Ovis aries: one gene and its partners. The protein of the gene in region 7 interacts with the protein of the main gene of each other region in a pairwise test. Links are inferred from orthologs where the notes say so. Each region holds a gene or a part of one and is shown on either strand. Other genes may lie near its edges.

What was found.
Region 1: the proteins of ATXN1 (region 7) and STAM2 interact in binary tests that used the Homo sapiens proteins (3 or more experiments, as listed by UniProt). The link is inferred for Ovis aries from reciprocal best matches to the Homo sapiens genes ATXN1 and STAM2.
Region 2: the proteins of ATXN1 (region 7) and EIF3F interact in binary tests that used the Homo sapiens proteins (3 or more experiments, as listed by UniProt). The link is inferred for Ovis aries from reciprocal best matches to the Homo sapiens genes ATXN1 and EIF3F.
Region 3: the proteins of ATXN1 (region 7) and PHPT1 interact in binary tests that used the Homo sapiens proteins (3 or more experiments, as listed by UniProt). The link is inferred for Ovis aries from reciprocal best matches to the Homo sapiens genes ATXN1 and PHPT1.
Region 4: the proteins of ATXN1 (region 7) and NLK interact in binary tests that used the Homo sapiens proteins (3 or more experiments, as listed by UniProt). The link is inferred for Ovis aries from reciprocal best matches to the Homo sapiens genes ATXN1 and NLK.
Region 5: the proteins of ATXN1 (region 7) and ZNF276 interact in binary tests that used the Homo sapiens proteins (3 or more experiments, as listed by UniProt). The link is inferred for Ovis aries from reciprocal best matches to the Homo sapiens genes ATXN1 and ZNF276.
Region 6: the proteins of ATXN1 (region 7) and REL interact in binary tests that used the Homo sapiens proteins (3 or more experiments, as listed by UniProt). The two-hybrid records come from large-scale screens. The link is inferred for Ovis aries from reciprocal best matches to the Homo sapiens genes ATXN1 and REL.

Annotation. Positions count from the first base shown.
Region 1 is NC_056055.1:157,444,773-157,448,996, reverse strand, and holds part of STAM2 (signal transducing adapter molecule 2), read right to left. Parts: intron 3,229-4,224; coding exon 3,144-3,228; intron 2,109-3,143; coding exon 2,033-2,108; intron 1,920-2,032; coding exon 1,821-1,919; intron 926-1,820; coding exon 779-925; intron 1-778.
Region 2 is NC_056068.1:44,245,554-44,250,228, forward strand, and holds the start of EIF3F (eukaryotic translation initiation factor 3 subunit F), read right to left. Parts: upstream 3,083-4,675; 5' UTR 3,066-3,082; coding exon 2,666-3,065; intron 1-2,665. UniProt on the Homo sapiens protein: Component of the eukaryotic translation initiation factor 3 (eIF-3) complex, which is required for several steps in the initiation of protein synthesis.
Region 3 is NC_056056.1:1,021,348-1,025,291, forward strand, and holds PHPT1 (14 kDa phosphohistidine phosphatase), read right to left. Parts: upstream 2,413-3,944; 5' UTR 2,360-2,412; coding exon 2,200-2,359; intron 1,864-2,199; coding exon 1,739-1,863; intron 1,259-1,738; coding exon 1,166-1,258; 3' UTR 1,001-1,165; downstream 1-1,000. UniProt on the Homo sapiens protein: Exhibits phosphohistidine phosphatase activity.
Region 4 is NC_056064.1:19,693,632-19,697,855, reverse strand, and holds part of NLK (serine/threonine-protein kinase NLK), read right to left. Parts: intron 3,230-4,224; coding exon 3,123-3,229; intron 1,660-3,122; coding exon 1,574-1,659; intron 1-1,573. UniProt on the Homo sapiens protein: Serine/threonine-protein kinase that regulates a number of transcription factors with key roles in cell fate determination. Positive effector of the non-canonical Wnt signaling pathway, acting downstream of WNT5A, MAP3K7/TAK1 and HIPK2.
Region 5 is NC_056067.1:14,142,578-14,146,801, reverse strand, and holds part of ZNF276 (zinc finger protein 276), read right to left. Parts: intron 2,709-4,224; coding exon 2,405-2,708; intron 2,148-2,404; coding exon 2,101-2,147; intron 2,004-2,100; coding exon 1,557-2,003; intron 698-1,556; coding exon 619-697; intron 1-618. UniProt on the Homo sapiens protein: May be involved in transcriptional regulation.
Region 6 is NC_056056.1:63,093,661-63,097,884, forward strand, and holds part of REL (proto-oncogene c-Rel), read right to left. Parts: intron 3,236-4,224; coding exon 3,131-3,235; intron 3,025-3,130; coding exon 2,812-3,024; intron 2,238-2,811; coding exon 2,169-2,237; intron 2,027-2,168; coding exon 1,955-2,026; intron 887-1,954; coding exon 105-886; 3' UTR 1-104. UniProt on the Homo sapiens protein: Proto-oncogene that may play a role in differentiation and lymphopoiesis.
Region 7 is NC_056073.1:40,014,131-40,018,354, reverse strand, and holds part of ATXN1 (ataxin-1), read right to left. Parts: coding exon 3,723-4,224; coding exon of another isoform or gene 3,715-3,722; exon of another isoform or gene 2,448-3,714; coding exon 2,353-2,447; 3' UTR 1-2,352. UniProt on the Homo sapiens protein: Chromatin-binding factor that repress Notch signaling in the absence of Notch intracellular domain by acting as a CBF1 corepressor. Binds to the HEY promoter and might assist, along with NCOR2, RBPJ-mediated repression. Binds RNA in vitro.

The DNA of each region.
Region 1 (4,224 bases), on a different chromosome or scaffold from region 7:
AGTTCTCTTAGTTTCTTTCCCTAGCCCATATCCTGAAAAAACAAGAGACACTGAGAGCAGAACCCAAGATACAGTGTTTTTCCCCACAGACCAAAATACACCACGGACTCTGGGATCATTATCCCTGCCTCCACCCCGGTCCTGCAAAAGCTGTCCCTATGTCCTCAAATAAACTTCTAGCCTTACAGGCCAACCTGTAAAAGGCCAACCATTTTATACATAAACAAAAGCACATTTCAGGCATGTTCCCTCTTCAACGGACAGGCCTCGAGCTTTCTCAAGTCCATGAAGTGATTCATGTCATTCCTCCGTTGACAACCTCTCTACTCCTCTTACATACTGAATTGCATTCCAGCCTAAAAATTCTACTCTTCATCTTCTTCATCATCCCAGTCTACAGTTACCTCTTCTTCCTGGCATCTAACTTTTGCACCCCCCATCCATCTTTGTCACTTATAATCAGTTATTTTTCACATATATAAAGCTACCCTTTCAATTGACTATAAATACCTCGAACATAAGGGCTCTCTCACACATCTATGCCTTTTGCATGACTCTAGATTCAGAGTCGCATTAAACAGATTATTTATGGATGACTCACTTCTCAAAGTTCTCATGTGTAGAATTCACTCAACAATTACAGGCACTGCTCTAGACAAACTCATGTAGAGTGGAGGTGAGTAATGACTAAGATAGACCTTGCCAGCTTTGAAATAAGGTATATACCTTCAAAATACTATAGTATAGGGTCATCCATGAATCTGAATGAATCTCTTACCTGAGAACCTAATGGAGGAAAAGTAACTCCTTCTTCTTTCATAGATTTAATAGTTGCAGATATCAGACTAAACTGAGGGTCCTTCTGAAATTCTTCTGACCATTCTACCATTAAAGATTTCAGTTTTTCACATACTTTAGGATGAGCCTTTTAATGAAAAGGCAAAGAAAAAAAATGGTTAAAATAAGCACTTGAATTATTTAACAAAGAGAATTACCACCAAAATTCTCTAGTTTTATGAATATCCACAAGAGTCCAGCAAACCTTAGTTTAGATGAGCACTCGATAAATACCTACTTTAATATATACTTGTCTCTTGGAAAATTACCCGTTTTGAACATTAATGTTTATATCTTATACAATGACAATGAATCTGTCATATTCAGAGATTATTTCATGTTTTCCTAATATTCTCAATATTAGATTAAACTTTTTATATCAACTAAAGTAAAACTCTGAGATTTTTGTCACTAACAGTATGAACACAGTATACCAGAGTTTCTATTACAAATAAATCAATAACAACCCCATCACAAAGACCCTCTCCACCTTGTTCTAAAATAAAGGCCTCCTTTGCTCACCATCTCTACTGGGAATCAGGACAGAATGATGGTTAGTTTGGATGCTGGTATCACAGACACTTACATCTGAACTTCAGCTATGCCACTTATTAGCTGCATAATCTTAGACAAGTTACTCTTAAGTCTCAGTTTCTCCATCTATAAAATAGGAATGACCTGGAAATCTACCTTCTAGGAGTTGTTAAGAGCATTAAACAAGTCAGCATACATAAAATGCTTAAAGCAGTGGCTGCTAACCCTCAATAAAGATCAGTGTTATCACTTATATATATGCTTTAGGGAGGAAAACAGTTTTTGGGGCTACAAATGCAAACAACAAATTTTAGAACAGAAAGTTTGTTTTGTTTCAAGTTTATCTAAAATGATTTCACTTACAACTCTACTAATGCTATAACACAGCTAAAATAACACAGCATATGTATTTTTTAATGACTCAAATTTCTTTCCTTTTTAAAATTTACCTTATTTTTTATCACAGCACGTACTTCTGTTGCAAAATCACGGGAACAAACTTCTAAATGAAATATCTTTCCACAGTTTGCCACACAAGCCCCAAGAAGCTATTAATTAAAATAAAAATCAATATACAAATGTTGAGATGTAATCTTACTTAACTTACTAAAACAAACACATTTTAAAATTTGGGCCAAATAATAACATGACTTTCACTTACAGTTAATGCCTGCAGAGCAACATGAGGAACTTTATGATTTACCCTTTTCATTATGGCTTTTAGGCAGTCTTTTGCTCTAAAAAAATGAAGAAAGTTAGGTATTCAGAATTTCAATTCAAGCATTAAATACATAAGGTATTCTATGATCAACTAACTTTAAAAGCTGTTTGGTCATACAATACCTTATATGTACACCTGCAAACTTTACTTCATTAAAGGAATAAATCTATCAAATGATCTTACACCTTTTGCTCATAGACTTGTAGAGGGGAAAAAAATGCTTGTTGCAAAGGCTGTGTATCCCAAAAACCAAAAATCAAAAAGGTCAGTCAACACAAGAGAACAATATCATAAAAATTATCTTTACATTTAAGACTGACAGCTTTCAGACAGCAAATTCTTATCTTGTGGGGAAAAAAACTAGCAAGATACATAATCTCAAATGATTTAAGTATAACCATGCATGAATAAACTTCAGAAAGCTGTAACATTAAAACAAATGCTTTCATCAGTCTTCTAAACCTCTACTGTATAATCAGTTTAATGTCCCCATTCCATCCTCAAAGCACTATTATATTCACTTTTTCATCATGATTTATTGCATTTATCTATTCATTACTGAAAGATCTTTTGAATATATTATATATTGTTATATTTATCTACCTCATTAATAACATGTCTAAGTCACAGGGGAACACCCTAAATAATTAAGTCTATTCATTGTTAACATCTGTCCCTATTGAATCAAGGCATTATATATATATATATATTTTTTTTTTTTTTTTTTTTTGAGCTGTACCTTGAGGCTTCTGGGATCTTAGTTCCCCAACCAGGGATTGAACCTGGACCCCCAGCAGTGAAAGCACAGTGTCCTAAGCACTGGACCACTAGGGAATTCCCTGTATCAAGGCTTTAATTATACATTTTAATATTTCAAGTTTTCAGTTATGGTTCTTTCAGAATAAGATTAACCACAGAAATTCAGCCAGTAGCATGTCTTTACTTTTACTCCCAAAAGGAAACAGCAAAAATCCTGTTTCCTTCCAGAATTATATCAGGAAAAGAGAGAGAGAGCTCCTAGACATTCACTGGGCATGACTGGCCATCTTACCCATTAGGAGTGCTTCCAACTTTGTCACATATGTCCATAATAAGACTCCAATCTTCTGTAGTATTGTACTCATTTGTAGCCTTTTCTATAAGAGATAAACATACAAAAGAATCAGGATGTCTTACATAATAATAAATCCAGGAAAGACATAAAAGTATCATGAGAAAAGAAACCAGTTACACACAAGGAAACTCCTATAAGACCATTAGCTGATATTTTGGCAGAAACTCTGCAGACCAGAAGAATATGGCATAATATTTTCAAAGTGATGAAAGGAGAAAAACCTACAAACAAGAATACTACAACCCACCTGAAAAAAAACAAAAACAAACACTCTACCCAGCAAAGATATTACTCAGATTTGAAGGAGACAGAGTTTCATAAACAAGCAAAAGCTAAAAGAGTTTAGCATCATTAATATGTGAACCGTGAACTTCCAGATGTTCAAGCTGGTTTTAGAAAAGGCAGAGGAACCAGAGATCAAATTGCCAACATGTGCTGGATCATTGAAAAAGCAAGACAGTACCAGAAAAACATCTATTTCTGCTTTATTGACTCTGCCAAAGCCTTTGTGTGGATCACAAGCAACTGTGGAAAATTCTGAGAGAGATGGGAATACCAAACCACCTGACCTGCCTCTTGAGAAATCTGTATACAGGTCAGGAAGCAACAGTTAGAACTGGACAAGGAAGAAAAGACTGGTTCCAAACAGGAAAAGCAGTACATCAAGGCTGTATATTGTCACCCGGCTTATTTAACTTCTATGCAGAGTACATCGTGAGAAACGCTGGACTGGATGAAGCACAAGCTGGAATCAAGATTGCTGGGAGAAATATCAATAACTTCAGATATGCAGATGACATCACCCTCATGGCAGAAAGCAAAGAAGAACTAAAGAGGCCCTTAATGAAAGTGAAAGAGTAGAGTGAAAAAGTTGGCTTAAAGCTCAACATTCAGAAAACTAAGATCATGGTGTTCGGTCCCATCACTTCATGGGAAATAGATGGGAAACAGTGGAAATAGTGTCAGACTTTATTTTGGGGGGCTCCAAAATCACTGCAGATGGTGACTGCAGCCATGA
Region 2 (4,675 bases), on a different chromosome or scaffold from region 7:
TTCTAAGTATCTAATAGTTTTATGGCACATAAAAGGTACTAGTGATTTAATTTAACCAAATGGAATATGTCTCATGAATCGCTTTCTAACTTAAAATTTCTAAGGTTCTCAGCAAGTGGAATCTGTGCGTCACTCTTCAGTAAGCACTGCCTCTGTAACATCTAGCATTGTACCACGGTTCCATTCTGGAAGAGGAGCTGAAACCCTAGATGACAGCTGGTCTAACTCCGGTCACTGTAATATTTGGGGGCACCTAATACAAACCTATTTCTGCTTTACTGACTATGCCAAAACCTTTGAGTGTCTGGATCACAATAAATTGTGGAAAATTCTGAAAGAGATGGGAATACCAGACCACCTGACCTGCCTCTTGAGAAACCTACATGCAGGTCAGGAAGCAACAGTTCGAACTGGACATGGAACAGCAGCCTTTTCCAAATAGGAAAAGGAGTACGTCAAGGCTGTATATTGTCACCCTGCTTATTTAACTTCTATGCAGAGTACATCATGAGAAATGCTGGGCTGGAAGAAGCACAAGCTGGAATCACGACTGCCGGGAGAACTATCAATAACCTCAGATATGCAGGTGACACCACCCTCATGGCAGAAAGTGAAGAGGAACTAAAAAGCCTCTTGATGAAAGTGAAGGAGCAGAGTGAAAAAGTTGGCTTAAAGCTCAACATTCAGAAAACGAAGATCATGGCATCCAGTCCCATCACTTCATGGGAAATAGATGGGAAAACAGTGGAAACAGTGTCAGACTTTATTTTTGGGGGCTCCAAAATCACTGTAGATGGTGATTGCAGCCATGAAATTGAAAGATGCTTACTCCTTGGAAGAAAAGTTATGACCAACCTAGATAGTATGTTCAAAAGGAGAGACATTACTTTGCCGACTAAGTTCCATCTAGTCAAGGCTATGGTTTTTCCAGTGGTTATGTATGGATGTGAGAGTTGGACTGTGAAGAAGGCTGAGCGCCAAAGAATTGATGCTTTTGAATTGTGGTGTTGGAGAAGACTCTTGAGAGTCCCTTGGACTGCAAGGAGATCCAACCAGTCCATTCTGAAGGAGATCAGTCCTGGGTGTTCACTGGAAGGACTGATGCTAAAGCTGAACTCCAGTACTTTGGCCACCTCATGCGAAGAGTTGACTCACTGGAAAAGACCCTGATGCTGGGAGGGATTGGGGGCAGGAGGAGAAGGGGACGAACGAGGAAGAGATGGCTGGATGGCATCACCGACTTGATGGGCATGAGACTGAGTAAACTCCGGGATTTGGTGATGGACAGGGAGGCCTGGCGTGCTGCGATTCATGGGGTCGCAAAGAGTCGGACACGACTGAACTGAACTGAATACAAACCTAGGGTGGAGAATTGAGAATTGTTTCTTACCATAGAGTCCATGGGGTCGCAAAGAGTCCGACAGGACTGAGTGACTAACACTTTCACACTTTGGGAGATTATGAGTAGAGGTGAGGGTGGGGGTATGGGATGAAGGACAGAGTGAAAACTTTTCCTGGGAACCTGGAAAATGAGTGGAGCTTAAAGGAAAAAATAAGGGAGAACAAGCAAAGAGAATACAAAGGCTTGGTTTGAGATAGCTATGGCAATGTTCGTAAGATAACGGATCAACTGAAGTTTCCGTGAAATGCTACTCTCTCAAAGATAAGAGAGAGAATGTGTGTGTCAGGAGTGTGCATGATGCGGTGGACGACAGCAACCGACAGCTGCTTCATACCTAGTCTGTGTCAGCACAGTTAGATGTCTTCAGCAAGTCCCTGAAGGAAAGAGACTTCCCTAACTTTTGCAGAAGTCTGGCTACAACTACCGTCCTCTTCTCAATACACCAACTGTCTTCTACAATGGAAACTATTACAAGTTCAAGGGTTAAGAAAGAGAAATCATAAATGGGACTAAACTGGAATCACAAAAGTGCCCCGTATCTGTGATCAAGATGGAGTGAAAAATTAATCTGATGGGACCCGACGTCCCCAGATAAAAGAATACATCGTCAGAAATCCCTTTTTAGGGCTTCTCGGTTTTACTCTAACATAAAGTACCCATTTCTCAAATTTGGAACATGTCAGGGAAAAAAGTTATTTCTCCATGTAATCGTTAATACAAAGAATAGATTTGTATTGTATTAATTGTGTCCAAACGAAGAATCACAGTCTACAGTGGGGGAACGGGGGTCTATATTTCACTGGTGACTAGTATTACAGAGAGCGAGGAAAGGCGGATCAGGCTTAGACGTTTAAGAAAGCAGAATATTGAAATTCAAATGGGTTCCTGCCAAACTGGTTTACTTGCTGCGAGGGATATCTTTCTACAGATGTCCCCACTCCATTGCCAACTAGTTAGAAAAAACTTCTCGGTTAACACTCGGAAAATAAAGACCAGTAGTAGGTAAGGGGGGAAAACTTGGTCACTGGGTTTAAGGAGTCAAAAGGTTTTTGACGTCCCAGTAAGGTTGTGAACACATTTTCCGTCGATTGGGACTAATAACCGTTGAAGTGAAATGCTACTGCAAAGATTAAAAATAAAATGTGAGTCACTTGGCACACGATACTTTTTCAACAAATAACTACAAGGGAGTGAGAAGAAAGGGGGACAAGATAAAACAAGGTGGGCAGTAGAGGAGAACGTCAGTTTCCCCTGACCACTCACCCAGCAGGGTCCCGATAACTCGGGCAGCTCCCTCGTTGCGTCGCTCGTAGCTGTCCACGATGGAGGCCAAAATGACCGGGTGCAGCCGGACCACGCGGCCGCCGGGGAAGGGGCCTGGGAGAGCAGGGCCAGAGAGAGACTGTGCGGGGGTCTGCGCTGGGGCTGGCGCTGAGGCCGGGGTCTGGCCCGGAGCCGCGGTCGTAGCCGCTGCTGCTGCCGGGTCTGAGGATGACGCGGGAGCCGGCGATGGAGCTGGAGCCGGAGCCGGCGATGGAGCCGGGGCCGAGGCTGAGGCTGGGGCTGGGGCCGGGGCCGAGGCCGAGGCCGGAGATGAGGCCGCAGCTGGGGCTTCGGACGGGGTGGCGGGAGGCGCGCTCGCCGGTACTGCCGGTGTGGCCATCTTGTCGAGAGAGAAGGAGCGAGGAGCGGAAGGGAGCGAGTTGGAGAACATTAGGAGCACCATAGGCTGAACCTGCACCACGTGAACTAGGTGCTTCTGCTTACTGGCTACTGATGATGCTTCTCAGAGCTACAATTTCCGGCTCTGTGTTTGTGCTCTTTGATTTTGGTCCGATGCGCACTCAGTGAGAATCAAGCTAAGTAGTTCCGAGTAAACTTGCGACCGCCCTGGGAGGAGAGAGACACTGCCACCAGATGGAGCCATAGAGCGGTGCAAAGGTCGCAGCTGGCACTTCAATGGGATAATTGGCATCAAGGAAAGAGCTTTGTTCTTGACTGCATCCTAAGGTGTCCATACAGTGTGTCATTCATTAAACAATTTGAATATGTGCCAGACACTTTTAGGAGCTATCAGAGAGCAAAATAAAGACCATTGTCCTTGAAACTTTACGTTCTAGTAGAGAGAGACAAGTACTTTTACACGACTGAAGCGACTTAGCAGCAGCAGCAACAAATGTGTTAGTGAAGAGGGAAAGATAAAATTTTACATAAACTCCTGCTGGTTCTGCCTCTGTAACTCTAGGTCATGTAGCCTCAGAAAGTGAGGACTTAGAATACTAGGAACTGGAGCTTATCTCACGCACCCTTGTCCTGCTCTTTGTGATTGCCCAGCCCCTGCAATCCTGCTTAATCACGCGCGTCCAAGTAAAGGTCAGCCATTCATCTCCCCGTTTTGACCCCTGTTCCTGTGCCTGTGAAACGCCTTAGTTTAAATCAGCCTGTTGGCAGCTAGTGCTGTCCACTATAGTCTGTCTATAAAAACTCTGTAACTCCTTTGTTCGGGGCTCAGAGCTTGGAGTGTTAACTCCTCTGGGCCTGCTGGCTTAACAAACCTGAGTTCTCCAACTCTCCGAGTATGGTGTTTGGTTTCTCGATTACTGGTTTCTGCAACACTACGTGTGGAAGGAGCTCTGATCCTCACTCCTTGCGTAACTTTGGGCAATCTAGAGGGTTTTTATTTTAAGTTCCTGAGCCTCAGTTTCCTTTATTGCGTGAGGGGTATGATAACATCTGCCTATGAGGAAACTTGTCAATTCCTTTAGTTGGATGTGCCAGGTTCCAGCCGGCAAGGTGAGTGGGTGAGGTTGGACTTCTTAGCCCGGAACTCATGCCCAAGAACTACTTTCTCCTTGGATCTACCTTTTTTGATTAGAATTCCCTCGATCGTGCTCCTCTGTCGGTATTCTGGGTACATTGTTTCTTTCCCCTTGAGAAATGGAGTATTTCCTGACATATCACTAAACAAAGGAAGTCACCCATTAGCGATTAGCCACCACAGATGGTGAGCTGATGAGCTTGAGGGAATTTAGGAAGGAAAGAATACCTGCCATTTAGCAGCCTAAGACTATAGCCATGCCCCATTGTGAGCCCGGAGGAAATTCAGGATGTGAAAACACAGAATATTGGCCCCAGATAGGTGGATGCATATTAAAGGAACGATTTCAGTGAGCCTGGACTCTTGCATCTTCCCATACAAATAAAAGTGCTAAATTCCTTGAGATAGCTGGTTTTCTTTAATTAACAATAATCTTTTGACATCCAGACTTACCA
Region 3 (3,944 bases), on a different chromosome or scaffold from region 7:
TCTGGTGGAGGCCCCGCTGGAGACAGCGCCGAGTGGCACAGGCCTCAGCTACTCCTCCTGGGGCCCCTGGTCCCGCAGAGTTCAACTCAGCCGGGCAGGAACTCAGCTTGTGCAAACCGTGCACCTGGCTTGAGTTCCCTGCACGGGGAGGGGGCAACCCTGGCAACCAGGGATGTCGTCCCTCTCCGTAACTCAGCCTGTGGGCTCCTCTTCACTTGCTCGCTTAAAAACGATGACTGTTTTCTTGTCAACAAGTGTCCGAACCGTGTGGTGTGGGCTGGGCACGGCCAGGCACAGGGTCCAGAGGAGCCGAGGGGCTCTGGGCCTCATGGCACTGACCTCAGCGGAGGACCTGGTACCAGGCGCTGCCAAGTTTATCACCGTCCGGCCTTGAGAGCTTGTCTAACCTGAGCCTGTTTCCTCATCTTTAAAAGTGTAACGATGGCGCCTCTGTGGAAAGGCTCCTGTGAGGGCCCTGGAGTCCAGAGGAGGCGGGTGCAGCGTGATGGAGGCCTCTGCTCCCCACAGCGCCAGGAGAAGGGTCCTGGGAGAGGGGCTCCACGCCTGACACCCGGTTTACTTGAAGCAGGAGTCTGAGGCAGTGGCCCTGATTCTGGAGTCGAGGGGCCACAGACCACCCGACTCGAGACCTCAGTCAGCAGCGGCCAAGGTAGGGGTTGCTGGTGCCCTCCCCCTACCGGGAGGGGCCCGCCTCCGCAGGCTGGAGGGACTTGGCCCTAGCTCCTTGCGTAACGGCTTGTCAGGCCTCTTCCCAGATGACTGTGGGGACAGCAGGTGCATGGAGAAGCAATCAGGTCATAAACGGGGGCAGCGGCCAGGGCCCCCTTATCAGACCCCAAAGGGCTGAGTGTGCCCTGCCCCTCCCTGGGCCCCTGGGGCAGGTTGCATGAGGGGCAGCCTCCAGCTCTTGGCCACCCACCTACACCAGCTGGAAGTACAGCGAGGTGCGCTGAGAACAGAGACGCCAAGCACACAGCGCTCAGGGAGCAGCAGAGCTGACGATGCTTTTAATTCTCCCAAGAGGGAGCCCCAGGCCCCGAGACCTGGCCAGGGTGGCAAAGGGGGTGCAGTCCGGCCCCTTGGGAGGGGCCTTCAGGGCAGAGTTCTGAGTGGGCTGCTGGACAGAGCGGGCCTCGAGTGGGCCTCAGTAGCCGTCGTCAGCCCACGTGACTTCGTAGTCCGGATACTTGGCTTTAATCTTCTCAGTGGAGACAGAGTGCTGGGCGCGACCGTAACCCTGAGGGAAGGAGGTGGCTCTCACACACCAGGTCCTGGCTCCGGGGGCCCCCAGGCAGCAGGGACACCAAGAGCCAGGCGGGGAGGCTGTCATCCCCCTAGCCACTCAAGCCACTCTCCTGGGAAGTGTAGCCTCCAGAGTGAGCCGACCTGGAGGGAGGGCCCTCCAGCTAGAGGTCGAGCTGGCTCTGGGTGCCCTGTGACCCTGCAGGTAGAGCGGTGAAGGGAGAGGCAGGCATCCAAGCTCCAACACAGCGCTGGCAGCCTCCAAGCGCTGGAGGACAGGGGCCTGGCCAGGCCTTCGGGGCAGGAACAGCACACAGCCCACTGCGGGCAAGCAGTGGCTCCCTCCCTCCCCCTATGTTTCCTGGGTCATGCCGCGTGGAAACTGGGATGCTGCGGTCCCTGGAGGCAGGGTTATGTCGGCGAGAAGGGCCGGGTGTTCCTCAGCCAGGACTGGGGTCCCCAGCTGCGGGCTCACCATGGAGTAGCCGTACACGTGGATCTTCCTGTCCTGGCTCTGGTGGGAAATGCGCCCGCCCCCCAGGCACTCGCAGTCGTAGCCCTTCTTCTGTATCTCGCCCGATACCTTGTCGTAGATGTCGGCTGGAATGGGAGGGGAGCTCAGCACCAGCCAGGGCGGAGGGGGTCTGAGGCCCTCCCCCCGCAGCCCCCGCCCCCAGGAGAGGAGACCTTCTGGACCGGAGAAAAGGGAGGAGAGGGTGCGCCTGGGCAGAAGCCCTGGACTAGGAGTGGGGGTCGGGCCACGGCAGCCCCTCGTCTCCAGGACAGTCTGGATGCCTCCCTGCCTCGCAAGCCGGGCGGCGAGGAGACCCGGCACAGAGTCTACCTACCCCCGCCCCGCCCTCGACCCGCTCCAGCCGCGCTGGCCCCGCCCACAGCGCCCGAGGCCCCGCCCCCGGCCCGCCGCCCCGCCCTCACCGTGGTACTCGGCCCACTTGTAGCCGCGCACGATCTCTTTGGTCTCCCCGGCCGGGTCCCCGGAGGGTGGCGCCGCATAGACTCGAATCAGCACATACTTGAAGACGCCGTCGGAGTCGATGTCCACGTCGGGGATCTGGGCGAGGCCCGCCGCCGCCATGTTCCCGGAGCGCGCTCGCCCTACGGCCCGCGGCCCTGCCCCACGCGACCCCTGGCTGCGCGGACCGCGGAGGGGCGGGGCCTGGAGGCCGCTGGCCAATCCCGCGGGGGCATGCTGCCCGGGCCCAGCGCCTCAGCCAACCGTGCGGCCGACCGGCGGCACAGACGAACCAATCGCGGCCCAGCTTCTTGCAGCGCGGTGACCGCGCCAGCTCCCCTTAAAGGGGAACAAGGAGTGGGGAGTGGGTGTGGGTTCCTTTCAGCCCACGGAGAAGTCCCTGCGCGCGGGTCAGGGGCGGCTGACGGGCCCCTCTGGGGGACTGGGCGGCCCACGAGGCGCAGGGGGCGCGCGCTGGCCCTGACTCCCTCCGCAGACCATGCGCGCTGCCCTCGGCTTCCGCCCGGGTCCCCGCAGTGTATCTGAGGGCCTCCCGCCCGGGTACTCCCCATGCTGTCCCGCGGCCTCCCGGCCCCGTCCCCGCCGAGTCCCGCGGCCTCCCGTCCCCTCGTCCGCACCGAGTCCCACGGTCTCCCGGCCCCGTCCCCGCCGAGTCCCGCGGCCTCCCGTCCCCTCGTCCGCACCGAGTCCCACGGTCTCCCGGCCCCGTCCCCGCCGAGTCCCGCGGCCTCCCGGCCCCGTCCCCGCCGAGTCCCGCGGCCTCCCGGCCCCGTCCCCGCCGAGTCCCGCGGCCTCCCGGCCCCGTCCCCGCCGAGTCCCGCGGCCTCCCGGCCCCGTCCCCGCCGAGTCCCGCGGTCTCCCGGCTCCTCGTCCGCACCGAGTCCCGCGGTCTCCCGGCCCCGTCCCCACCGAGTCCGAGCCCGCCTCTCTCCGGCCTCCCACTCCACGTTGTTCAGTGGTTTCCCACCGCTGTTTCCGAAGGCCTGCCCCCCATGGCTCCGAAAATCTTCAACGTCGCACCCACTCTGAACAAAAAACGAGGCAGCAGTGGCTACATTCGAGTTATATTTTCCTTAGTTCGAAAGCGCTCCCCCTCTGGAAGTAACCCCAGTCCAGGGTCCTTCCTGGGCGGCGCGTAGGGCCGAAGGCGGAGGCCCCTGGGCAGGGGGCGCCGAGGCCAGTTTGTGAGGCCGAGAAGGCGGGAGGGGCTAAGCGGGGCGCGTGGCCGGTGCGAATGCGCGGAGCCGAGGCAGGCGCGCAGGCAGGTGGAGAAGGAACGAGAGGAGATGGGTGCGGGTGCGGGTGCGCGGGCGGGGGTGAGGGCAGCGATCGGAGGTGGGAGGTGGGGCCCCACAATTTAATTGACTCGATACCTCCTACCACCTGGCCCTGACGGGGGCCTGGGGCTTCAGGAGGGCCCTTCTGGGCGCCGGGCCTCGCCCTCTAAGGCCAGGGCCAGCGGGCAGCCCCCGACGAGAGCGGAGATAACGGACTGGACCGTGCACTCCAGCCTCCAGCGTCCAGCCCGCACCACAAGGCGGGGCCAGAGCGAGCTAGAGCGCGGGTGTTTGCGCAGTTGCGCCCTTCACGCCGCCCTGTGGAAGTAGCTCGCTCCCGCCCCTGCTCCAGACGGGACGAACCTCCTCCTCGGTCCTCAGTAGGACTACTGATAGGGTCCCAGCTGGAG
Region 4 (4,224 bases), on a different chromosome or scaffold from region 7:
GAGTTGCTCCATCGCACGTGGGATCTTCCCAGAGCAGGGATCAAACCCGTGTCTTCTGCATTGGCAGGTGGATTCTTTACCACTGAGCCACCCGGGAAGCCTGATCACAACTCTTTTTATTTATTTATTTTTTAATTAATTTATTGGGCTGTAGTCGGTCTTAGCTGTGGCAAATGGAATCTAGTTTCCTGACTACAGATTGAACCTGGGCCCCCTGCACTGAAAGTTCAGTCTTAGCCACTGGACCACCAGGGAAGTCTCACAGTGAAAAGCAGTGAACTCAATGACCTATAAAAGGAAAATTTACTTTGGTAGTTTTTACTTAATGGTTTTTGGGACAATTAATTATCTGTGGAAACAAAAAGAATTAAGTATAATATTAGATGTTTTCAAGGAAAATATGAAAAATAGGTGTTTTTAATCTTTCTAGACTTAAAACAGGATCAGAGTTCTTTACATATAGAGTGAAGGGAGTTTTTTCTTTTTTATTCAAAAGCAGTTTAACACACTAGTTTTAAAGAAAACTGGCCCACAGTTTAAAGAAAGCATTTAAAATAAAAAATGAAATTCATTTATATACTTGGTTTTAAGGTTTAGTTTAACTGCCAACAGGATAAGTACTAATGACAGTTGATTACATTTATAGTAGGCAACGTTTATAAACAGTTCTTTTCTTTTTCAAATATATCAATTGAAATGTTAAGAATATTTACTGTAGACTGAAGCACCATATAATACTGCAGCCGCTCATAAAATAAGTGGAATTTTAATTTGCCTTCACAGAGATGACTCAGCTCTAGGAAGGCCCTTACCTCTAATTTCTATAATGGGGAAAGATGGTGGGCCCTTCACTATTTAGGAGGTCTGTTAAAAGATTTCTGTTAGGGAGAGGGCAATGCACACATGTGGATTTTGCTATTTGTGAGGCACTCTAAGAAAAGACTATGGGGGTGGTACTGCGGCGAGAGTAAAACTGAAATTGATGTCTTGAGATATGGGGGCTGCTAACCATAATAAACCCTGAAATCAATACCCCTTCAGAGGGGTAACTGAGGATTGGCCACTACATACTGTGGAAGTACCTTTGACCCTTTTCTGGCTTAGTATTTTCACTTTTAAATGCTTCTATTTCCCTACTTTGCTGCCTCAGGCAAACAGCACATAAAAACATCAGCTGTGCAAAAACATACAGTCTTCTTAAAAGCCACACTTGATTGTCATGTAAGTAGATGCTTACTGGTCTTCCAATCTTTTTTCTGATATATACTTTCTCTGTAATGGAACAAGCTGAAAAGAAATCACCTTCTCTAGTCTTCTTTCTAGTCACACTGCAATTCCGATTCCAATGTTTCCAAAATATGTGCAAAATATCATGAAGAAACCATGAGCCAAAACTACAAATTAAGTTACTGTTTTGTCCATGACTAGTGATATTGGTGGAGAACACTGGGTTCTTTTATTTCTGGTAAAGTGATGAGAATACATTTAACCATTTCTTTCACAAAAATGTGTTCTTAAACACACTCTGACATTCCACTTGTTTCCTAGATGTTTAAATAAAATGAAAAGCTACCTTTAGAACACAGTTGCTGTTCACAAGGAGATTCCCTGGCTTAATGTCTCGATGTAAAATGCCAGCTGAATGGAGATATTTCAAACCTGAAATAACAAACAGATTTAACTGCAGATATTTAATTCCTTTACTCAACCAATGATTTTGGGGAAAACCATAGAAACAAGAGTAAAGGATTTTAAATTGTTCTCTAAATAACTGCATAATGAACATTATTAAAAGCTTGACTTAGTCCTACCTCAAAAAACTGTAATTTCGCTACAGTAAAATAAAATGTCATCAAAGGTTTGCACAGTCTAGAGATAATGTCTATAATTTGAAAGATTATTTAGGTTTAAGTATAGATAAGCATTCCAAGCCCTGGAGTTAAGGCTGACCAGACCAATAACCTTGAACAGTTTCTAAGTGTGGCTCCTGGAGCTCTGGATATTCTGGATACTCTCAAGCTTATTGTGAGCTGCTGCCACAAAATAGTTCCCATTAACCAACAGCAAGCCTTTTCCAGGACAGATTTTCACTGATGAGACAAAATTCAGAAACTTGCCCAGGTCTGTTGGTAGTATTCTCTACCACTGAGAATCAGGAAGGTAATTAATTACTTTAAAAATATTTTTGATATCTTTATAAAGTCTGTGGGCTTTAGCAGTGCTAGATAAAAGGCACAGCTTCTGAATAAAAGGCTGAGTCTTCTGAATAAAAGAAAGCAAATCACATTTTCTACAATGTTAAAGATCCTCTATCCAGTATCTTCCCTCTGCCACCTCCCCCACTCCCAAATATCAACAAATCTACAGAAGGTGAACTTTCTAGTTTTGACACTGTGTATGTGTTTTAGTTCCTTTGGCAGATGCTTTTCAATTTTTATAAGGAATGTCTTAATTCTTTGAATCCTATGGGAGAAAACATTTTACTAGGTAAGAAAACTGTTTCAGCTTTAAACAGGTGTAACGCCAAAATTCTGAAGGACACCAGATGGCCGGAGGAAGCCCCAACAATGTCAGCCCAAACTGTTTCTCCATCACATCAGAGCTCCTTAATGAGGGTGAGTGAGCTGGCTGTTTCTGTCAGTCTTCTCCATGCTTTGACTTTAAAACTCATTTTGCTTTTCTAGAGTGGAACTCAGGCATGCCTGCCAACTCTCAGACTAGGCCCACCTACTGCCGGCTTAAAGAATGTATGTCATCCATAGGAAACACAGTTCCTTTTCAGTTAATCATCTGATGCCAGCCACATACTCCTACTAAAGGCTATTCAGTGGAAGCTTTGTGGCAAAACATCCTGCTTATGTACCCCCCGAGATTAACCCCCTTGACTACCTAATGAATTAGATAGGACCTTCTCTTCCATCACTGAAAATAAGAACCATTCGGCTACCCTTAAAAGCTTCTTATTTAACATCAAGTATAGAGAGTATTAAATATACTTTGGTCAGAAGAAAAACAGTTGTGGGTAAGAAGTTAGCCTTGGAAGGTCAGATTAGTTCAAATGAAAAGCAAAACATTTCATTTATACAGTGACACTACCTTTTTCTTCACAGAGAAAGTCTTACCTCGCAAAATCTGATAAAGAAAAACTTTGACATGATCTGAGCTGAGTGGTTGAGGAGAGACGATAATTTTATGCAGGTCACTCTGCATCAGTTCTGTGACAACATATCTTGAGGTTTTTAGTTAAGGAGAGTTCAGAGAATTCAGCCCCGAAGCCCTATAAATTAGGTACCAACTCTAAATAAATAACTTCTCTTTTTAAGGCTGGAAAAAGCTTTAAGGAAAGAAAGGTTCAGGACAGCAGGAAGAGAGGTGATAGGTTCCAGCCCTCCTAAGATGAAAACACTGCCAAAACAAAATTTTAAAAAGTTAGAAGTTAACAATCAAGTGACTACAATTAGCACTATAAAAGAGAAAAATAAGGGAAAATATTTTCAAAGACAGTCAGATCAGGAGAAATGTGAAGACCAGCAGTCTCAGGGTCTATTCAGACATGTTCCTGGAGTGTCCTCTGAATCCGAACAAGAAAGAGTGCTGGTCTCATGCTAGGCCACCATGGCACCAAAGCAAAAGGTGTAATCCATCCATTAACAGTGGCTTCAATTACCTTGTAAAGCATGGTACTCCGAAAGACACGCACAATGGTTAGTTCGTATCTCAGTCTCTACAGTCTTCACAACTGAACTTTTATTATTTAACTTCTTATACATGTATACCTCCCGTACTTAATTTTAAGCTTCCTGTGCTTTGTACTCAGTATATCCTCAGGGTTTTGCACAATTAACATGAGGCAGATGACCGAAGGCTAGGGCCCAGGGAATAACGGAGATGTGGAACTCTCTTGGTAAAGACACAGTCTTTTGCTTATTTAGAAAAGGACAGATTTGTGACTTACCCCTGCCTTCAGTAACAACTCCTTAAAATTTTAGGCAAGTTTTATGATATAAAAGCTTTCTTCAGACAAGAGAAGAGGGCCTTTGAGTTTAGGAGGCTCTTACATGATTTAAATTCTTTTGACACATTCTATATGTGAAAAGAATCTTAAAAAGGGTGGGTATATTGTGAATGATTCACTTTACTATACAGCAGAAATTAACACAACACTGTAAATCAACTGTATTCCAATAAAACTTAATAAAGACAAATGAATAAACAAGAAAAATA
Region 5 (4,224 bases), on a different chromosome or scaffold from region 7:
GGCTGCAGGATAGCCACAGCCTCCTGACCCAGGGTGGGGGGTGGATTTCTGGCACCCACTGGTTCTCCTCCAACACCTGGGTCATCTGTCACTGGCACCAAAAATCACGCTGTCGTTCTACTTGTTTGGACAAAGTGCATCTGTGGTCTAGCCACAGTGTACAAGGCAGGGTGGAAAGGTCAGCTGGTGTGCAGCCTCCACCCTGAGAGATTTGGTCTTGGAGACCGGGAAGGGGGTGTCCCCAGGAGCAGACAGGTGTCCTGCCTGCCTCTAGAAGGTCTGTCCTCCACTCCACAACACAAACACCATGATAAACAGCCAGAGGCTGGCTTCTGTTCTAGTAAAATCTGGGGTTGGCATAAAACTCAGCCTTGGAGGCCGAGATGAGCCAGCAGCCAGAGGACCATCTGAACAGAGTGATGGCCACACGTGGCTGGGCCCCCGTGCAGCTCTATCAGGTCTGAAGTGCCCCAATCAAAAACAGAAGCCTGTTAAGCACCCCCTACCACTCCCCTCCTCCCAACAGAGAAAGTGGGAGGCCAGTGAGAGCCAGGCCGCAGCCCCTGGGATGGTGGCCAAGGAGGAATGTTAGGCTATGTAAACCCACTCTTCTCTCACCCCTCAGAAAGGTCACTGAACTCGTCTTTTACCCGATCATCCGAGGTTGGAGATGGAACCTGCTTCTCACCCAATTGCCCTGGGAAACAAAGAACAAGACTCCAGTCACCTGTCACCCCAGGGGAACTGCACGGTAGTGCTCCCCACAGGCATGACAGGGCGCCTAGGGTTCCCATGCCTCCAAATCCACTCACCTCCTGGCCCCCTCAACAAGGCCTGCATAGCCAAGCCCACCACGCCACCCCCAAGTCCTGCCAGCAGTAGCAACAGCAGCAAATTCAGCCCTGCCTCAGAGGTTCAGATCCAGTTGCTCTCGGATGTTTCAGAACATCAAAAAAGATCATTGGTATCCAAGTACTGCAGGCACATGGCTCAAAACTCCAAGCAGTTCTAAGAACAGTGAAGCCCTCCAGCATGAGCACTGCCTCACTCTGAACCATCCAGTGGCAAACATCACTCGCAGGAGCAGCCTGGCACCCACATGGAAGCTGAGAGACGTGGGTAGGGAGCCGGCCCAGCCCTCCTAATACCACGTTGGTGAACAGCTGCACCCAACACACAGGGCCACAGGATCAGGCCCCACAGGGCACTGACAGGCCCAGGGAGTGACCTGTATTGGCTCGGGACAACCCCTGACCCCAGCTGCCTTCGTGCCCCACAAAGGCCCGGGCTCTTCCTCCCTCCGTGCCCTGGCCCCAAGCAGGCTTGGAGGAAGCCTGGATGGCAGGCGAGCATGCCTTAAAGGAAGGCACTCAAACGGGGTCTTCAGCCCCTCTCTGCTGTCAGACGCACATGAGGCGGTGCCAGGACTGCCCTGGCCACTATGCTGGCCCCTCTGCGCATACCACTGCTACCACCACAACAGCCACTTCCTGCCAAGGGCCCTGCCTGGCTCAGGACCAGGAATACTGGTCAAGTAGCCCAGAGGAGCCACCTACCTGGGGCCCCACCTTGGGGGAGGCTTGGCTGAGACGGGGGGCCCGGCCCCGGCCCCACTGGGTCACCATCTGAAGGAAGCCGGCTTGTTTCGAGGCTGGGGAGTGTCTCGGTTTCAGCCCCCGCCGCAGCTGCTCTGCCTTGGGAGCTCTGAGGGGCAGCCCCGGTGGGGTTGAACCCCCGATGCTGGGGGAGTCGCGGGCCTGAATCCTTGTCCCACGTCCACTTGACACCCAAAGCGCTGTCCAGCAAGAGGGCCCCACAGCTGGAGTCGGCGTCCATGGTGTAGTCATGGCCCTGGTCGCAGCCCCACATGGCCCGGATGACACCACAGTACTCGGAGGACAGCGTCCTCTGGAGGCTAGGTAGGGCCCCACAGCTGGCCGCGTGTCTGTGCACCCACCCCACCAAGCCACGCAGGCCCTGGGGGCTCGAAGCAATCAGGTCCACTGAGGAGAGGCAGAGAGACGCCAGCCCATGGCCAGTCAGCATCTGAGTCCCCCCGCTTCCCGCCCACCCTGCACCCCACCCTGGGGGCGCACTCACCCACACACGCTCCCTCCTCCGGCCCCATCCGTGGCTGGACACCGACCCTGCAAAGGAGCAGGGCTGCTCACCAAGAGCAAGCATGGGGCCCAGTGGCCACTGTGTGTGCCGGCTGAGCCTTTTCCTCCGAGGCCACCCACCAGGCCCTCCCCGCCCTGTGCTCTCCAGTCAGTCTCCCCACACACCCAGCGCACTGGTGCTCATGAGTGTCTGCCTCACCAGCGCCCGGGCTGCCCTGTGCCCATGCAGCCCTGTTCACGGGGTCTCCTGCACACCCCCAGCAAAGGAGGGAAGGGGCACCTACTTTGCACAAGGCTTCCGGCGGCCTGTCGGGGGAACATTGACTCGCTGCAGGAAAGATGTGAGGAGGCCGTGGCACTGGTAGAACTGGGCATGGCAGTTCTTGCAGACAAACTGGGACAGAGCTGGGTCCTGGTGGACAGCCACGCCCAGGAGGCGCTGGAAATCCCGGATGAAAACACGGTCCCCAGGGGGTGGCCTTTCTGAGCTCTCCCCAGGTGCCCTGCCAGAGATGCTGCGGAGACTCCGGGAGGAGAACTTCCCATGACAAAGGCGACAGTGCCCCATGGCCAGGGCCCGGGCTGTTCCTGGGCAAGCACAGGAAACAGGAAGTCAGGCATGCAGAACACAGCTCCCAGGTGAGGTGAGATCCACACTCCACCAGCCCCCGCCCCAGCTCCTGGAGTGGGACCTCCCCAGACATGCCCCTTAAATACAAGTCCAGGTCTGGGCCAGAGGCAGGGCTCTGGATCCAGGCTCCCAGATGAACATATAGTCTTTTGGGAGAATGGCCAGTGGAGGGTCTTCTGAGTGGAAAATCCTTTCAAAGAACTCTAAATGCCTCCAAAACAAGCCAGTATTGCTCTAATACTAAAACCAGACAAGGACACAACAATAAAATAAAATAATATTTATTTTTAATAAACATAGATGTACAAGCCTTCAACAAAATAACAGCAAACTGAACTCAACACTTAATTTAAAAGATCCTGCACAATGATCAGCTGCAAAGTATTCCAGGGAGGCAAGGATGGCTCAGCCTTCCCAAATCAATTCATGTGACACACATTAACAAAATAAAAATCATACTCCTCTCAATAAATGGAGAAAAAGTAGTGGACAAAATTCAATATCCATTCATGATAAAAACCTCAATAAACTGTATACAGATAGAAAATACCACCACATAATAAGAGCCATACATGACAAGCCCCAAGCTAACATCATACTCAATGGTAAAGAGCTAAAAGCTTTCTTCTAAGATCAGGAACAAAACAAGGATTCCCACTCTCACCATTTTTATTCAACACAGTACTGGACATTCTGACCAAAGCAATTAGGCAAGAAAAATAAAAACCACTCAAATCATACAGACAGAAGCAACACCATCTGTTTGTGTATTAATATTACATATAGAAAATTCTGTAAGACTCCATGAGAAAAACTGTTAGAATAAGCAAATTCAGTTATAGAATACAAAATCAATATACAAACATAAGTTGATTTCCACATACTAATAACAAACTATTAGAAATTAAGAAAATAATCAGATTTACAATAGTATCAAAAAAAATACCTATGAATAAATATAACCAAAGAGATGAAAGACCTGTACACTGACACCTGTAAGACACTGACAAAAAAAACTGAAACCACAAATAAGTAGTCCATGACCATGGGTTGGAATAATTAATTGACATCAAATAATAAGACAATTGACATTAATTAACAAGACACTGTTAAAATGTCTACACTCCCCAAAGTCATCTACAAATTCAAAACAACCCCTATCAAAATCTCATTGGTATTTTTCACAAAAATAGAACAATCTTAAAATGTATATGAAACCAATAAAGACCCTGAACAGCCAAAGCAATTCTGTGAAAGAACCACTAAGTTGAAGGCATCATGCTTCCTGATTTCAAACTATACTACAAAGCTACAATAATTAACACAGTACAGTACTGGCATAAACAGAGGCACATAAAGGGACTTCACTGATGGTCCAGCGGCTAAGACTCCACGTTCCCATTATAAGGGGCCAAGAGTCAATCCCTGGTCAGGGAACTTGCCACAACTAAAGATCCCACATACTGCAACAAA
Region 6 (4,224 bases), on a different chromosome or scaffold from region 7:
TATGGTATAGTCTCAGTCAAGGAAACATAAAATGTTACATTTATAAAGGTAGCATCAAAATAGTTACCTTTAAAGGATTTAATTCTTAAATCACCATTTATATCTTACAAGTTAACTTGAAAAAATTCAAATGGAAATGAATCACTCAATTGTTCATTTTGCATAGCTCCAATACCTGAATACTGACTATTTTGACCAAAACTATGACTGTTTGCATTAGTACCATTTGATGGTCCTGCCTCATTTATCATACTGTTATCTGCACAATTAAAGTCAGATCCCTCAAATGCCTCTGACTGTGCAATAAAAGCAGTAGTACTAGAGCTGGTGACTGTTGACATACTGGAAGAAGACATCTGATGGAGCTGTCTCAAGTCTCTTGGGTCTAACACTGAATTACAGGAAGGATTTTCAAGATTCATGCTCACAAGTCTGGGATTATCGGTCTCCCTCATGCTGTCATTACTGGGTGTTATCATGTTCACAGGGCAGTTAGGCAGCATGCTGGCATCAGAAATACCATATAAGTCAGCTGGTGATACAGATGATGCTTCCATTCTACCTATGTCATTAGCATTGTTATAAATGCAAGCATTAGAAGCATTCAGATCACTCATTTCCAGGAATGGTGGGATAACTTGTGAATTAGAGGAAAGTGTCCCTGTTGAAAAACCACTCAGTGAATTTGTATTGACTGAGCGTGAGGTGGGGTGGGCGATTGATGACCAGCCTGAAGAAGACTGAGTACCCATTGGTAGTATGGCTGAAGCAGGATGTGACAATGTACTTGAGATGGACGCAGAGGAGGAATAGTAGGATTCTGCTTGACTTGAAACAGGCCTGGTAGTTTCTGGCAAAACTGCACCATGAGAAAACAAGTTTGGTTCTGTGGGGAAGGAAATGTAGTTTTAAAAAACTGAAATGAACAAAATTCTAAATTAAAATTATGTAAACACTCATAAAAAAATTTTCAAGGAAATCAATGTAACACTTCAAATAAAAATGTTAAATAGGAGATAATTATTAGATAAGTCCAAAACTGAATTCCATAATACTGTTTTACAAATGCCTATAAAATAATTTGGTAAGTTATTTTGGCATAGAAAATTTCATTTCAGTTAAATGTGGAAATCTAGCTTCTGAGGCCTTATAAAGGTATTTTTGAAATGTGAAAGATAAATGTCAGAATTTCACTTAATGGGCCTCTAAATATTCAAAATCATTTCATATTCTCTTCTTCCAGGAGAAAATGGAGGGATGGAGGAAACATTAAGGATGATTGAGAAATCTACATAAATTTCTAAGCCATATTATGATATAACTCACACTAATGTTCTATAAAATTTTCAGAAAAAAATGCAGTAGTATATTTAATTACATATTATATGACTGCTGTACATATTAAACCAAGAAAAAGCATTGATTTAAGAACATAAAAAGAAAAAAAAAGACTTCTAATTAACCCTGGATAATGATCTAAAGCAGAAATTGGCAACTTTTTTTCCATAAAAAGCCAGATAGTAAATATTTTAGGTTTCATGCATCATGCAGCCTCTATTGGAACTTCTTAACTCTGCAGCTATAATAGTACAAGAAAAGAACCATAAACAACATGCAATCAAATGAGCTGTGTTCTAGTAAAACTTTATAAATAAATATAGGTAATTGACCAGGTCTAAACCACTTCTTTCATGACACGCTGTAATTAGTACAATTACCATCATAGGAATGAAATGTAATTTCTCAAACAATAAATCCCCAAACATAATCACAGTTGCTAACAGGACTTTCAGAAGCTGAGATCAATTCATTAAATATTCATAGCATGAAAAAAATATGTAGGAATGGAATAAATCAAAGACTCAGTTTTCATTACTAAGAATAGAATTCTAGTATATTGTGCAAAACACTGGTCTCTCTGATCACAAGGAATACGGTATCGGGCATAAAATACCTTTTTTGATGAATCTTCCTTCTCCAGTAGGTCCTAGGGGACTAGGTCTAGGTCTTTCAGGAAAATTAACTCCTGTGATAAATTTTTTCCATTATTAAATATAATTTGAAAAACAACAGTATACCAGTTAAAATTTGAAAAACTGAATAAAGAAAAAAAAGAAAAACCCCAAACCAAATTTACTTAAATACCAATCAAACCAAAATATTCTTACCACAATCCTGCCACAGTTTCTGGAAAAGCAGAGTTGTTTTTTGTTTCTTTGCTTTATTTCCATACGTGTCTGGTTAGAAAGAAATCGGGAAAATGTGTGAATATCAATGAGTATGCTTCCTCTCCTTTAACACATATATAGATGTTTTATTCCTACATAGAAAATGCTTTAAATAAATGTACATAACATGGATTTCTATGTGTCACAAAGTATGTCCCAAATCAGTAATAAAGGGCATTTTTCTCTTAGTAAAAAATAGTTTATAATATTCATCTTGTTTTATTATAACATCTACAGGTTAACCAATGGTCAATTAATGGGCTAAGGGCAGATTAGGACCAAGATGGAGACCACTTTCTGAGTGGCAAGTTTGCCATCTATCAAGAAGGTACAATAAGGACCAAAACAGAATCTCAAATATAAAACAACTTCTGATAAACAGGTTAGATATGTTGAAATTATCCCAGATACCTTTCCTAAGAAAGAGATTCAAAGAGCACAAAGATGAATCAAAAATCAATAAAAAACTTTAAGGAAAAGAAAATTGTGAATACATAACATGACTATATTCTAATATATCTTACAAAACAATGTTCTTAGCAGGACTAAGAAACACATAAACCATTAACACAAAAGGTCATACCCTTTTCATCTGGCAGGTATCTAAAGTCCATAGATTCACTAACTTCCTGATCGGAAGGTCGCCGCAGCTGCATCTTCACTGTTACGGGTTCTGTTATAGCTTTGCAGTATGGCGGAGTCTTGAAAACAATGGCTACTTGACGGTGTACGTCAGCTTGTGAAAAGACACCTTTTGCTTCCCACTCATTCAACACAAACCGAACTTCTATGTCGTCTAGTGATTACAAAAACAAATAATTCAAACACAAAGTAAAATGTACCAATCACTTTAAAATATATTCTGAATTCAATGAAACAAACAAACAAAACCCAAAAAATACCTTTCTGAACTTTGTCACAGAGTAGAAATATTTCATCTCCTCCTTTGACACTTCCACAGTTCTTATTTACACGACAAATCCTTAATTCTGCAGTATTAGGAGCACCTAAATACAAAGGATTTTTTTTAATGGGTTGCTACCTTAGTAATTGAGTTAGACAAGGTTGTGGTCCATTTGATCAGACTGGTTAGTTTTCTGTGATTGTGGTTTTCAGTCTGTCTGCCCTCTGATGGAGAAGGATAAGAGGCTTATGGAAGCTTCCTGATGGGAGAGACTGACTGAGGGAGAAACTGGGTCTGTTCTGATGGGTGGGGCCATGCTCAGTAAATCTCCAATCCAATTTTCTGTTGATGGGTGGGGCTGTGTTCCCTCTCTGTTATTCACTTGGGGCCAAACTATGGTGGAGGCAATGAAGATAATGGCGACCTCCTTCAAAAGGTCTGATGAACGCATTGCTACACCCAGTGCCCCCAACCCTGCAGCATGCCACCGCCAACCCACAGCTTCGCCAGAGACTTCTGGACACTCAGGGGCAAGTCTGGGTCAGTCTCTTGTGGGGTTACTGTTCCTTTCTCCTGGGTCCTGGTGTGCGCAAGTTTCTGTTTGTGCCCTCAAGATTGTTTCCCCAGTCCTGTGTAAGTTCTGGCGGCTCCATGGTGGGGTTAATGGTGAGCTCCTCCAAGAGGGTTTATGCCATACCCAGGTATGCTGCACCCACAGCCTTGTCTAACTCAATAAAACAAAAGACACACCGTATAGGGCCACCCAAGATGGATGGGTCATGGTGGAGAGTTCTGACAAAACATGGTCCACTGGAGAAGGGAATAGCAAACCACTTCAGTATTCTTGCCTTGAGAACCCCATGAACAATATGAAAAGGCAAAAGATAGGACACTGAAAGATGAACTCTCCAGGTGGGCAGGAGCCCAAAATGCTACTGGAGATCAGTAGAGAAATAACTCCAGAAAGAATGAAGAGACGGAGTCACAGCAAAAACAACACCCAGCTGTGGATGTGACCAGTGATGGAAGTAAAGTCCGATGCTGTAAAGAGCAATAATGCATAGGAACCTGGAATGTTAGGTCCGTGAATCA
Region 7 (4,224 bases):
ATAATTCTGAAGTTGAAACATCCTAAGGAACAGTCATTTTATATATTTAGAAATCCCTAGAAAGAGAGGTCCTTGTTTGTTGAATTTTTTTTTTCTTTTCGCCCTAATTTCTTGGTGATTGTGTTCCACTGTAAACGCAAAAGGCCTGCTGTTACTAGTTTAAAAATGGAAAACAGGTAAGGAGAACAAAAGATGGGTTAGGTAAGTATTGCAAAGTGGACCCGGTACAGAGGCACATGGCTACTCCTCACAAGCTGCGCGGCACTGTTAGGTGGGCTACGCGGGCGCGGTGACCGGGCTGCTCTGGGGGCCTCGGCGCTCGCCCACATGTGCCAACAGGAGGAGGGCCCCTGTTCTCCGGATGGCCTTCCTATTTGGAGGCGAGAGCTGCCGCAGAGGGGCGGTGGCCATTGTTCGCAGGAGGCCCGGGCCCTCCGCAGCCGCCTGCGCCCGAGGCTCGGAAGGCGCGCACGCGGTGGACCACACTTCCTGCCCACGCTTGGAGGATGCACGGCTCCAAGTCTCCAGGACACAGACCTGAGTGGGTGGGGGCCCACCTACTCGAGGAAAGGACCGTGGAACAGGGGCTGATCCTGGCTCGATGGCTCAAGAGTGCGCCTTAGAAGTGAGTCTGCCTGCTTCCCGTCTGCACGCCACTATTCCTCGCGCTGAGGAGGGGAAGATCTGCTTTGTTTGCTCTTTTCTGCAACAGGGCGACAGAAACGCGGGGCTCCCCCAGAAGCTCCCTGCCCTGGGGCCTCGGCTTCCCCGAGCAGGGCAATCGCCCAGCAGGAGGCTCTCCCCTTCCTGGCTCCTTCCTTCCAGCCCTTCTTTGGGCGGCACAGAAAAAGGATGGAGAGAATAAGGAAAAAGCCAAGAGGGGCCTACCTACACTTTGTCTAGAGCACACTGATCAGACTCTATTGGCACGGAAAGTATTGCACACACTAAAGAAGCAAGAAGGTGAAACAGGACAATGTTTAGAAAGAACCGATTCTTTGATAATTCCTATACCTGAAACAAAAGCACGAAAAACAACGATGATGTTCCTATTGCTCCAAACCACGCATGTTTTCCTGTTTTAGTGTTGGAGGTGTGGATCCGGTTAGTTCAATACTCAAAAGAAGCCAAAAGGTGGTGGGTGTTTCTCTGAGTCCGCGTGAATCACTGTCCTTAGTGGTACTGATGAGGACAAAGTCTGTATGGCAGCCCCGTATTCCTCTTACCGTCAAAACAAAAAAAGAAAAACAAAACCTAATAATTGCAAGTGCCCTGAGCAGAATATATGGAAGATTAAGCAAGTTCTCTGAACAGAGACATTTAAAAAAATACAGCACTAAGTAAGCAATATGACTGCAAAAATGGACTCACCCAGCTCTCTGCTAGCATGCTGAGAGGGTAATGAACACCGAGGAAAGTCAAGGACTGGCTCTAGCAGTTCAAAACCTACTCCAATGGTTTTGGTACACCCCAGAAATGGTTTCTAAAAATCGTCAGTTCTGCTGAGAGCTAAATGTGAAGGAATACTGGAAAGCCAGAATGTGGGCTGACAAGAATTTTTTTTTAAATCTGTGAAATGGAAAAAGTACTATTTTCAATGGTAAAAGAAAAATCAGGTATTTGTTCAGATTCTCTGCAGCCATTCCAAGTAAGAATATTTAAAAATTTCTCTCTCCTTATAAAACTTTTAAGCACTTAAAACGCACACTCAAACCCCACAAACAATTTTTCAGATCTCTGGGGATAAAAGGTCTCCACTGTGAAAGACCCTTTCTGGGTTTGTACCAAACATTAGATCTTGATTTCAGATGGAAAAAGAAAGTCATTTTGAAAATAACATTAATAACAACAACAATAATTGTTTTCTTAAAAAAAAAAACAAACTTGCTCACATATATAAATGTCTTCATGGAAAACTCTCTCAATGAATCTGAAGAAAATTCTCAGAGTTGTCCTGCTAAGACCTGGTTTTATGTGACAGATACGGTAAGAAGACCAAAAATGAATCTTGAAAGGAACATAACCTTATAAAAGGCCTAGAGTTTAGGCAGGTTAGAAAGTAATTTTGCTACATTTATTTATGCTCGTTCAGTCCCCCAAGCCTTTCCCACAATGTTATTTGAGAAAAACTGCAGGAATATCACACAAATTTATAAACTCAAGATGTGCAAATCGCAAGGTTCTTTAAAAGTTCATCTTAAAAAGAAAAACACTGGACAAAAGTGAGTATTCTTTTTTTTTTTTTTTTCCCATCCCTTCCCTCTCAGTTCCTCTGCCAGCTCTGCATACGCTTTTTACTCCTTTCTGAGACATCAAAGTGAAGAGTGCCTCCTGTCAGGCTGTACTTGGTGGTCATTCATTGTCACATACAAGTTCATAATTCACATTCATCCCTTGAAACCACTTTGAAACTTTCAGCATCTTGCTCCGTGAGAAACTCTGCAGAGCTGAAATGTAGTTACAGTGTTAAAAAAAAAAAAGAAAGCAACTTAGTTTTTTTTTTTTCTTTTCTGTTTTTCTTCCCAAAGAGTTTAAAGTGAGATACAGTACTTGTTGAATGAGAGACCAAGATGCTTGGTAATAAAGTGTGAACGGCATTTTAAGTACTTAAGAGATAGTAATATATATGCTTATCTTCAAAATCTTATTTCCTCACATCACACTGGAATCTGAAAAAAGTGGCACCCGAGTTGTCCATTGTCATGAACTATAAACAGTACTAGAGTTAAAAGACAAAAGATTTGCAAACCCAAAGCAAAGAGCTTCTGCAGCTCTTTTGAAGGGCAGTTTGTGTCTTATCTCTTGGGAGCGAAGTCAATGCAATTAACCTGATTGGTTTTCCTAACACTGCACAGAGACCGGAGGGGGTGTTCACTTTCCCCCACCCCCGCTGCCCAGCGCCCCCCCCCCCAACCAGTGCAGAGCGATGCCAGCAGGGGCCGCCTGCCCACCATGACGCCCTGGAGGCATCACTACTGCACTAGTAAAGCAGAAACGAAATCCCATGGGTGGCAGTTGCTCTTTAAAAAAATATCAGTGCAGTCAGGCCCCATAGGGGGAAATATATATATATATATATATATTTATCTCTATGATTAAAAGTTGCTTTTATTGTAAAATAAGTTGGGGGGGGGGGGAAATGTTCTTTTACACGGTTAGCTTTCCATCTGCTGTCTGGTACCTCTTTCGGAGGCCCCAGTGCTGACTCTGCACGGGGGGAACCTCCTGAGGACATTCCCCCAGACCTCCAATCTGGTGCTGAGAGCAAGAGAGAGGGAGGCAGAGAGAAAGACACCCTTACAGAAGTGTCACCCAGGCACCCTCCCTGGCACACAGGCACACCCCCCTGACGCAGCTCCCTTCCCGAGATCATCCCTCTGAAGCCAGTGGAAGTCAGTGCCCCCGTGGATGCATCCACGATGCCAGAAAAGGCGGGTGCCATGGGGCCACCTTCATCTCAACCAGGATGCCCACCACCTGCCTGGAGCCTGGGCTGGACCTACCCTGGCACCCCACCTGCCGAGAAACACGCCCGGAAAAAGCATATGCACCGGTCGCCTGCCCAACGCCAGCTGTAACTCTAATGACAAGGTTATAACAGAACCCTAAAGTAAGAGGATAACATGGAAATACTGAGTTATTTAACCTACAGTACATCTGTAATCTGGATACAAATGATAAAGGAGGGCCAGCTTTCCCTTCCCCACACAGCTTCTACTTGCCTACGTTAGAGCGGCCTTCGATGCAAATCTTAACCTCCTGAGAAATGAGAGAAGGCTTGGGAAGAGTCAAAGGTGGCTCGTCTTCCGACTTCTCCAGTTTGCGGGTCTCGGGCGCTGACCACCTCCTCTTCCTCGTGGCCGCGGGCTTGCTGGGTTCTATTTTGGTGAGCAAGGGCGCGGCCGGCAATCCTATTTTTTCGGGAAACTTCAGTTCGCCATTCTCAGAGAGCATCTGGGCGCTTCCCTGACTGATCCCGTTTTCCTGCTCGGCATACCTGTGTCTACTGCCAGCGAGGCCGTCGGTCTTTGAGTGCTTCAGCAGGACACTGGCTGGATCCACGGGCTGGCCCTTTTTAACAGAGCCGTTCTTCAGGTTCTTGAGGGTGAGCGAGATACAGACGTCCCCAACGGAGAGTTTGGAGCATGGCAAATCAAAGAGCTGGCTGGTCCTCTCTGGGCAACAGGATGACCAGCCCTGTCCAAACACAAAAAAAGGATACTC